2 linked regions of the Xenopus tropicalis genome follow. The protein of the gene in region 2 binds, or shares a complex with, the protein of the main gene of each other region. Links are inferred from orthologs where the notes say so. Each region holds a gene or a part of one and is shown on either strand. Other genes may lie near its edges.

Region 1 (5,336 bases), on a different chromosome or scaffold from region 2:
GTGCAAGACTGCCAACAGTAGACCCTGATCTACAGTACACAAGCTCATTGCAGTCTAAAGGACAATTCTGCATTTAAGTAATCCCTGACAGCTTCAGTACCTGCCAAAAGCAGCACAATTCTCCATCATGCACCTAAAAAGCAGCTATAAACCATGTCAATTTTTGTTTCACTATCACAGTTCTTACTCAGAGGGGACCATGGTGGTTAAAATAGCTATGGGCCATTTGCCTATAAGGGGATATCACTGTTTTAGTTTACAGTTGACAGAAGTTTTACCTCTTGCGGGAGCCTCCAAACAGCAGGCAAGCAATGGCTTTCTTGATGTCACTACTGCCATAAATGGAGGGGGCAATACTTTTAGCAACAGTCTCATAGATATCAGGCTTTGCAGATAGGCGCCTAAACTCCTCTTCCTCTTGTGGCGTTATAGCACCTGCTGCACTTCTTCCTAAACAACGAGTAAGCAATAAATGCATATCACACATCTGACAGCTATAAGTGTTGAGTAAGTGTATGTGTTGTGCTTGGGGGAGGCAGTGGGCACCCCCTTTAGAAAATATTATTAACACTCGGGATTATATAGGAATTGTGTTCAACTGGAATGGAATGGAAAGTTCAACTGGAATGTGTTACTGTCCCTTTAAACATAGCTGCACTTTTGCATATTGCCACCTCTCACCTGTTCCTTCTGTATCCACTTGGATGCCCACTACCCTTATATAGGAACTGCGGATCCCAACTCCCACTCGATCCCGGCCCTTTGTTGAGGTCTTTCCACTCTTCCGGATTGAGTAAATACCCATGATTGTCACTCTGTTTCCAGGAACAACCTTATCACACAAGTACCTTAAATAGACATTAGGAAATTTAAATGTTTAATGTGGTATCACAATAATTTACACCAAAGCTAATAGCATTAGATATAAAAAGGCAGACTCGAAAATAAATGCATTTTAAATGGGGTTAATTTAAGCCGAGGTTACAGTGCACTTTAAATGTCTTAACCACAAGACACTGTATGGAAGAGTCTCCTGTAGCAACATTAACTCTGCAGCTAAGCATCAAATTGACAGTGATCAGAAAAAAAGCCTCTGTCTACATCCCAAAAGAAATATAGATGAAAAGGACCAATTATTTGCAAACCTATACATAGAACATACTGCATTTCTCTAATCTAGCAATATCTGTTTCATTACAAATATATTTAATTTTAAACATACCTGTCACAATACAACTGCATGTGTCTTGGAAGCTCTCCATGAGGTACAGCATCTGGAGACTCCTGAAGCTTCAGAGTTTGAAAATCTACACATTTGCACTTGTCAGGTATAATAAAGTATGGGTCCAATGGGCACTTTGGACGGCCAGCCTGTTCCCTGTGAAGAGTAACAGCAAAAGTTAAAAGAATCTAAAAGGTAAATGTTGTGCTGACTAATCAATTTTACCACAGCTAACAGCCAATTCCATCCAGTGGTGAACTATGGCTCCTAGACCTTCCCCCCATATCAACTGTTAACAGATAATGGAAATACACTCCACTTCACTAAGAATAGTACGAAGTATAAAAAGGCTTAAGAAGTTTGACAAGTTGCTTCCATTGGAAGAAAACTTTATATTACACAATCACAAGGGTCCAAGTAACATCAAAAGACATTCATGTTCCACAGAACTTCAATTACACATACGTGTTGCATTTACGTGGCATAGCATATCCCTCTAGACCAGGACGCACAGCTATGTTGCCAATTGTGTTTCGGCAGCTACGACACTGGATTGAGATCTTCGTAGCCTTGGCTCTCACAGCGGTGGCAGCAATGATAATGCCGGGAATTTTGACAAGATGAGACATTTGCTCGGACTGCAATATAACATTGGGTGAGAATATGCAATGGTTAATAAAGTGGCACAGGGATTAAATAACCCTAAGTAATATTAATGGCAGTATGTTGTGACTTCAGTGGAACAAGCTGCACCACTGACTAAGCAGGGCATAATATTTAAGTCTAGATATTTAAGCATACTTTGATGAAAATCTGACATTACCACCACTTTGAAATGAAAATATTAACAAATGTCATTTATAAAAAAAAACAAAAAAAACACAGGTATTGTAATTATATGTTTACGTAGCCATGTGACAATGCAAATTTCAAGAGACCATCAACCATAGAATTTCTCACCTTCAGGCTTCGAATATTAGCAGGGTTGGCATCAGACCGCAACATAACTTGGATTTCCTGTATAGTTTCTTCACCTGCAGGTCGTGGGCGAGTCACCTCATCTGCAACTTCCTGGGCTGCCTCTTCCAGCTGTAAATTGAGTTAAACAATGAGTAAAATCATAAAAATATATAAAATCACACACTGACTGTGACATATCTTGCTATATTATACATATACTCTACATCCCAGATGTAAAGACCTTAATACTCACAGTACTGGCAAATAACTGGCAGACTGAACACATTGGTACTAAAAGCTACTTACCAGCTGCAGATGTTCAGTTGGCTGTTTGTACAAATAATCTGCAAGGTCCTCATCAAAGCTGGCCAGGTCCTCCATTTCCACCTCTATCCAGTATTCTCCCAGATTATAGTGACGCTTGAGTTCATCTCTGTAAATAAAATATGTTGTTGAATGTATGTTATTTGGCCCTGTCACAGATACTGAGGGTTGTAAACTACAAATCTGTAAAACTATGGTCAGTCCCGATTTTGACATTGACTTAAGCACCTGCAACACCTTAAAGAGGAATATAAAGACAAAAATCCTAGTTCTTTGTGATATTTAGTCCAAAAAATAAATTGACAAAATAAACTTATTGAAAATTCTCTACCATTTTTTATGGCTTTCCTATAACAGACTTGGGAAAAAGTTTTCAGATATGAATACAGAGCTCCAGTTAGCTGTGTTTTAACTCAGTTTTACATGCTTTGCCATCTGATTTTTTTTAACACCTCCTCTTATCACAGCCACTGTGCATTATGGGTATCTCTGTACCATTAATGTAACCATGGATCTATGTCTAGGATGGAAGGACAGTAGTGGATCGGAAGTAATTACAGAACAGCACTGACACAAGTGATGGGTATGACATTTCACATGTATGTAGATGAATATACAATGTAAAAGTCCCCTTTACATGGCACTTAATGACACATGCGCTCGTATATATGTTCGGGTCATGCTCAAGCCCATTAGTAACCTCTGAATTAATCAGATCCCTTCGTTTAGGATTACACCTAACAAAATCAAACTTGTAAATCGTTACAACAAAGTGTCCCAGACCTGTATTTGAAGGTGAAGCCGGTGCGATCGGTCCCTACACGGTACTGCCTGAGGAACTCTCTGAACCGCTTCTTAAGTTGTGATTTCTTGGCTTGTCCGTCGTCACCCACCGGCTGCTCTCCGCCAAAACTATCGCTGTAGTAGATTCCAAGATCGTCAAATCCCGACATTGTAACGAAGAAAAGGGTACCAAGCACAAAAGGCGAGAGCTGCGGCCGCCAATGCACCTATTTCACAAGAACGCGCGAAATCTTTTTTTCGCGCCAAACCTCTGTAACAGCGACGATCTGTTCCGCCTCAGCTATTTCCCTATTGGTTGATACCGTTTCTAGGGACCGCCCTTCTCCTGTATCTACGGCCAATCCAGCAGTGCACGCCTTACGTAAGAGATTTCGAAGCCTGCTGAGTGGCTGGGAGTAATGGCAGCTTTTTCCCTTTCATAGGTGGGAGGGCAATGCCTGGCGCCAAACTTTACCGAAACAAAATGGAGGAAGTTGTAGCTGAGGAACAGAAAAACTAGCGTGTTCAGAGGAGTCCAATACTCTGAGGCAGTATTTTAGAACCGAGTTCTACTTGGTCTTGTTATGGTGATTTCATTCTACATTTCTATCTATTTTACTTAAAGGGATATTATGATTTTTATGGTGAACTGTTTATTTCTAGATTTCAGTGTTTACTTAACTTGCTCTACCATTTAAAGGAGAAAATCAATTCATACTTACCGAGATTTTCTTTTCCTGGCCTTCCTCCCTGGCAGCATAACATTTGGGTTTATCCTCTACCAAATGTTATGCTGCCAGGGGATGGCCAGGAAAATGTTATTCTGTGTAGGCAGCTATGTCAGTGCATTGTGCCTGAGGGGTAGATTTATTAGAGTGAGAAACTTGCTAGAGTGAAATTCTACTATTATTTTTTTAAAAGGGTGAACTTTTACACTCACTAATTGATAAATATGCTTTTAAAAATCAATGGATAGAAGCGTATGTAGGGGTTTATCAAAAATGGGCCCTTAGGACAGACACCCCTAGACTAGGCCACTGGTTGGTGTTAGTTAGCAGGGACACTGGGATGACTGGGTTCTACATAGTTAACAGGGAGTATACCTGTAGTTCGGGTTATGGCCACCGGGTGGTGCATAGGCCCATAAAAAGGGTAGCAGCCATCTTGAGCCACTTTAGGCTGGGATAGCTCCTGGGACCAGGAGCTTCCCCTGATAGAGTTATTAGATAGTAGTTTCTTGTAATAGGACATTCTAGGAGTGTCATGTAGGACACCAAGCTAGAATGGGCGGATATTGCCCCTCCAGGAGTGGTAGTGGGGTTAAGACCCCCCAGCATTACATCTGCTGGAGTGCAGGGCATTAAGTGGCTAGGTAGGTGGACAAGTCCCCGCTAGTCCAGGAGTCCGGATCTGAGGGTGCCATACGCTAGTACCGGTGTGGGTCCTTGTGGTGTAACTCCTAGCATGGGTACTGAGAACTCCAAAGGGAGGGTCTCACAGATAGTACCGGGGATAGCACCTAGATAGGAGCACATTGGGGAAACCCGTGAGGTAGTACCAACAGGAAAAGGATCTCAATGAGAAGTAAGGAGATATGCCCTGCCGTGTGTATAAATGATATGCCGCTCCTGGAGAGGTCTCTGCCTGAATAAACCATAGCATTCCTTTCATATACAACTGTGTCTGCTGTGAGTATCTACCTAGCCCAGAGGACCACTACTACGCCGGTAAGGAATAACTCAAAGAGTGAGTACATCACACCGGGAGTACGTGGGTCCCAAAGGGGCATTGTATCCTGATCGTTTCCCAGGGGGTGGAATATAGTTCCACAAGACCATCCCTGGGTGGAGGCACGCCATTTAGGGGAGAATCCCTTGTAAACCCCCATAGTAAGCGGGGGCTCAGGACTCCTGTAGCGCCAAAGTATCGTGCTCCAACGGGTAGTGCCACAACCGTGCATAAAGTGGGCTACACGTAATTTCGGTATAGTGGACTGTGGCAAGCTCTAACTTCGCTCATTGATAAATATACCCCTGAGTCTGAGCCT
Region 2 (5,359 bases):
GGAACTGATGCTTTGTCTGTAAGGAGATCAAGATTTTATTTAATTTATTTTTATTTTAAGTTCTTATAAGTCAGAAAAAAATATAAAAAGGCATATTGCTTCAATATTAAAATGTACATATACTTTTAAAATGGAGTTCCCATTTAAGGCTTTGCTTACACCGGATTTGTTTTGATTGTTAAAACAGTCCAACATAGCAGATGAGGGAGGGGGCAATTTAGTTGTATACAGATTCTTAAAGGACATGTAAAGCCTACATTTGCCTACAATATATATCAGGTGGGCACGTCTTCCCCCACCCAAATGGCATAATTTGCACTGCATATATCCCCCTCTGTTTATCAGCACAATTACATTTTTTCTAAAGCAAATAGCAGCTTTCACCCAGTGGCCATTTTTCCTGATACATAATCAAATACATTTATATCTGCAAACATACACACACAGACCCGAATTCAGCATACATTTCATAAAGAATACAGGCTCACACAGGCAGAACTGTCTTCGATAAAAGTTCTGCTTTGTTTAAGCTGAGCTCAGGACAGGAGGTTAGAAGAAAAACATTGAAGCAGACAGCTAGACCTGAGCTTCTATGGGACCCAGAAATGCCATCTCTTCATTGGCTGCTAGACTGGAGAGCGTGTTTGGTAATCGGAGCTTAGAACAACTGAGCATGCCCACAAGCCAGAAGTCAAAGCAAATCTCTGAGGGAGGGGGCTGAGTGGGTTACAGGAGGAGAAGGAAATCTAAGTGATTAATGGGATGCTGCAGCCTTTCTATTAACCTCTGGACAACCAGTGTGACAGGTATTAAAAAAAGATTTCTAAGAGGCTGTTTGTGCGTGGGGTTTACATGTCCTTTAAAGAAAACTCCTAAAACATCAATTAATGTCCATGCATCCAGAATACTTTAAACATTTGTGACTAGTCGTATAATACAAATGATCTTGCACTTGTTTGCCCTTTACTAGTACACCCAGGGTGTATCAAATGATGGGTTTACTTGGTGGGTAATTTGGCCAGCATACACTTAAAATGAGAAAAAAAAAACAAAACTACTTTTTAGACATTTTTAAATTTCTTAAAAATGCTAAATAGTCTACCAGTTCACTAAGAAAAATCAACAGTTTTCAGCCTATATTTAAAGTGCTAAGACTACATATTTTATGCTTTTTTGGTGCTAGATTTTTAAATGGCAGGTACCTTTAATGCATTAAGGAGAGGCATGCACCAAATCCAGGATTTTGGATTATCCTAGCACTGTTTGCAGATTTTTTAATTCCCCTAAACTAAATGGTTATTAAAATCACATGACTTTAAAGAGCTGGTTTGGCCCAAAAAATGGCTCACTACTTCAAGTGCAGGTTATCACTGTCCAGCAGCTGGGCTCTAGAAACCTGGTCTTCATCTTTGATGGGATAGTGTTTCTAGAGCACACTGCCCGATGTTATGATATCAGCCAAGGTGATAGGGCAGTTTGAGTTAAAGGAACAGTAACACCAAAAAATGAAAGTGTATAAAAGTAACTAAAATATAATGTGCTGCTGCCCTGCACTGGTAAAAGTTGTGTGTTTACTTTAGAAAGACTACTATAATTTATATAAATAAGCTGCTATGTAGCCATGGGGGCAGCCATTCAAAGGAGAAAAGGCACAGGCACATAGCAGATAACAGATAAAACACTATTGTATTCTACAGAACTTATCTGTTATCTGCTATGTAACCTGTGCCTTTTCTCCTTTTTTACAGCTTGAATGGCTGCCCCCATGACTACACAGCAGCTTATTATATAAATTATAGTAGTGTTACTGTAGCAAACACACCAGTTTTACCATTGCAGGGCAACAGTGCATTATATTTTTATTACTTTAAAGCTCTTTCATTTTTTAGTGTTACTGTTCCTTTAATAAAGGGGGAAGAATTGGAAAATTTAAGACCAAGCACATTACCACTCTGGACAATTGAATAGAACAAATATTTGTTCACAATTGTTGCAATATTTTGTAAATGTGCTAATAAGGGTTTGGACTAAACTTCTAAGGTGCATTTGACCAAAACCAAAAAATATGACTACGTAGTTATGGTAAAAATAAAAGTTAAATCATAGTATCCACCATTACACAGATGCACTATTTATATGTAGCAAATGCAAAACTTTCACAAGAATTTTACACTATAAAATGTTTTCATTTGGGCAAAAGGCTGGAGATGGAGGAATAATAGAACCAACTTGGGGCAAGTGTTCAGATTTCAGAAATGAAATATTTATCCTTCTTTCTAGGTTTTTCTATCATTGGTAACTTATACTCACTAGTACACTTTACATTGTTTTAGTAACAGTGTTTTAGTAGCAGACCCTAAATGGTTCAAGAGCTGCAACACTGTTGGTACCATGCACATTATCTGGTGGGAAATAAAATAAGTTGTATTTACCGGTACATGGGTCCTCTCCGACTTCATCCCTGATATTTACCTGGCCAACATATTAGGCAGTGTAGAAAAAAAAAAAAACCCATTGGGAAGAGCACCACATACGTATTGATGTGGACCTCTCCCAACAGCCTGCATTAGCAGCCATTATGATCCAATCATTGGTCGAAGGCCTAACAATCAGTGTGGTGCTGTGACATATGGGACAAAGATCCACTCATTTGGCAAACTAGGTGGTATGACCAGCTTTATATGTGGGGATGAAGTGTTTATACTGTCGGATCTGTGCAAGGGGCACTGTGAGTTTAATGGAAACCAGATATGCAGAAATCTCCCATTGTCAATTTTATGCAAAATCTTTTTTTTTAATTACATTTTCTCTGTAATAAAACAGTATCTTGTACTTTACAGCAACTAAGCTGCATAAAAACTTGTTAGTGATAAAGCAATCCTATTGGCTTTATTTCATAGTTACATGTTGTTTTAAGTAGGTATGGTGATTTAAATTGTTGAAAAAAAACTTAATTTTGGTTTGTTCTTACCTGAAGTACCTTACAGGCGCAGAGAGCATCAACATCAGGTGCAACAAGGAGAAGAACGCGCTGGAAATCAGAGAAGAGACAGTGAGTGGTGTCATATCATTTATTTGGGAAAAAAAATCCTTTATCCCGGTTACCCTTCTCACCTCGGTAACGATCACGTCGTAAAACTCTTTACGGAGATCACTCACAAACATCTCGACAAGTTGACGGCTGCCCTCGAAACTGGCGCCAAAATCCCTTAGAGCAGCGGTGGCCAATCAAACAGCCCGTTTCGTCGTGACATACACCAACCCCGCCCAATCCGTGAAGGCTCAGCGCAAGATAAACCCCGCCTCTGCGTCCTACAGTTTAGCAGCCAATTGGTCGCTTCCCGATATCTGACAGCGGTCTATTAACTTCCGCTTTTAGCGTGTTGCTTCTTGGGATTCGTAGTTTCTCTTGTTCCGATCGTCTGATTCGCAATTATATTTACTTCCGGGAAGGACGGTGACTAAGATAGTGTTAGGTCCGCCGGGATAATAAGAGAAAGCCGGTAACAAAATGGTAAGATCTGTCTTCCACATTTGTGATAGCGTCATGTCATGTATACCTATATATCATCATAAAACACCATTTACCTGCCAGGTTTTATGGAGGCTGAACAGTGACTGAGGGGTTAGTTTTTTACTGCTATATGCATCTTGGATGGGAAAGAAGAGTTGTTGTATGTAAGATTTTTTTTACATGAAAAATAACAGTATGATTTTAATCTGAATGTATGTTTCCGTAATAGTTTTTGTTTTTACAGATCACTTAAATAACACTAAAAGGGTAAAAACAAAGTAAAAAAGAATTTCTCAAATTATCACGATGTATCTTTATGTTGCTTAATGAAATAACAGCTCCAAAATCTCACTAATTCCATTCTCTTTTAGTTTTCTTTCAACATGTTTGACCACCCCATACCCCGGGTTTTCCAAAACCGCTTCTCTACTCAGTACCGTTGCTACTCCGTTTCCATGTTGGCGGGTCCCAATGACCGATCTGATGTGGAGAAAGGAGGGAAAAGTAAGTAATATGTGACTAAGAGCTGTACTGTAATTTTTTCAAGATAAAATTATTTAAACATAGGTAATAATATCTAATAATCATAAACTAGACCACTTTTTTGTGGGCCACAAGCAGACTGGGATTTAATATATGCCCTTGCATTTCAAGGCCCCTGCTAGTTCACTAAATAGTGCTTGTCTATGGCATCTAACAGCAGTCCTTTTGGAATTTGCCAGAATCCACACATTGCCAGTCCAGGCCTGGTCACAGGTCATGAGATCTCTGTTATCATCATGTACCATCATGCAAACTGTACAGGATGTGGAAAGTGGACACAATGGTAATTCTTGGCCACACATATCCAGTACAGGTATGTGATCCGTTATCCGGAAACCTGTTATCCAGAAAGCTCTAAATTACGGCAAGGCCCATAGGCTGCATTTTAATTAAATAATTAAAATTTAAGAAAATAATTTCCTTTTTCTCTGTAATAAATCAGTACTTGTACTAAATCCCAACTAGGATATAATCAAACCTTATTAGAGACAAAACAATCCTATTTGGTATATTATGTTTAAATACATTTTGAGCAGACTTAAGGCATGAAGATCCAAATTACACAATGACCGCTTGTACAGGAAAAACCCCTGGTCCTGAGCATTAAGTATTATAGGTTCTATATTATATAAGAGGTTTTCAATCAATTGTTCTGTAGAAAGAATGAATGGCATTTGACCCATGTTTATTATGCTGTGTAAAAACAGCACCATTGTACTCTGCTGTGTAGATGTGTGCCTTTTTACCCTATTCTTTTGGTTGTGCCATATACTTCATATAACTTGTAGTAGTGTTTCTGAAGCAAACATACACTTTTTACCAGTGCAGGGTAATAGTATATTATATTTACATACAGATAAAACCTTTTCTTGTTTTTTGTTTTACTGGTCCTTTCATGAGTGAGGAAAAACAAAAATTCTAGTCAAAGGAGATAATTCAGTCTTTAAAAAGTGGAGCACTTTCAGTGATTCTTTATTCATTTTTGAAAAAGGGTCACTGGAAGTAATGTGTATAGTGTATGGTGTGTCACAGACTATACTACTGTAACTTTTCTTGTTCTTCTTTTTTTCAGTTATCATGCCTCCATCTGCTTTAGATCAACTCAGTAAGTATGCTCTGCCTGGATTACTTGATTAAATCTTAGGCTAACGCCACATGTAGCATATGGAGCGTATTTTCGGCAAGCCAAAAAACACTTGCTAAGAATACGCACCATACGCTAAAAAATGCCCCTACCTGTGCCTGCACCCTAATGAATGAAATACGATACGGTGCAGGAACATGTAGCCGAAAATATGAAGT

What was found. Proteins that work in one complex are often made in the same cells at the same time.
Region 1: cdc45 (region 2) and mcm5 share a complex: the UniProt entries of both Homo sapiens proteins name them as parts of the CMG helicase complex. The link is inferred for Xenopus tropicalis from reciprocal best matches to the Homo sapiens genes CDC45 and MCM5.

Annotation. Positions count from the first base shown.
Region 1 is NC_030680.2:115,591,717-115,597,052, reverse strand, and holds the start of mcm5 (DNA replication licensing factor mcm5), read right to left. Parts: upstream 3,475-5,336; 5' UTR 3,460-3,474; coding exon 3,290-3,459; intron 2,616-3,289; coding exon 2,489-2,615; intron 2,312-2,488; coding exon 2,183-2,311; intron 1,861-2,182; coding exon 1,688-1,860; intron 1,379-1,687; coding exon 1,223-1,378; intron 849-1,222; coding exon 682-848; intron 451-681; coding exon 279-450; intron 1-278. UniProt on the Homo sapiens protein: Acts as a component of the MCM2-7 complex (MCM complex) which is the replicative helicase essential for 'once per cell cycle' DNA replication initiation and elongation in eukaryotic cells.
Region 2 is NC_030677.2:154,229,690-154,235,048, reverse strand, and holds the start of cdc45 (cell division control protein 45 homolog), read right to left. Parts: upstream 3,280-5,359; 5' UTR 3,166-3,279; coding exon 3,115-3,165; intron 3,032-3,114; coding exon 2,972-3,031; intron 1-2,971. Other genes in the region: ufd1 (ubiquitin fusion degradation protein 1 homolog), read left to right, coding at 3,512-3,514, 3,886-4,018, 5,130-5,162. UniProt on the Homo sapiens protein: Required for initiation of chromosomal DNA replication. Core component of CDC45-MCM-GINS (CMG) helicase, the molecular machine that unwinds template DNA during replication, and around which the replisome is built.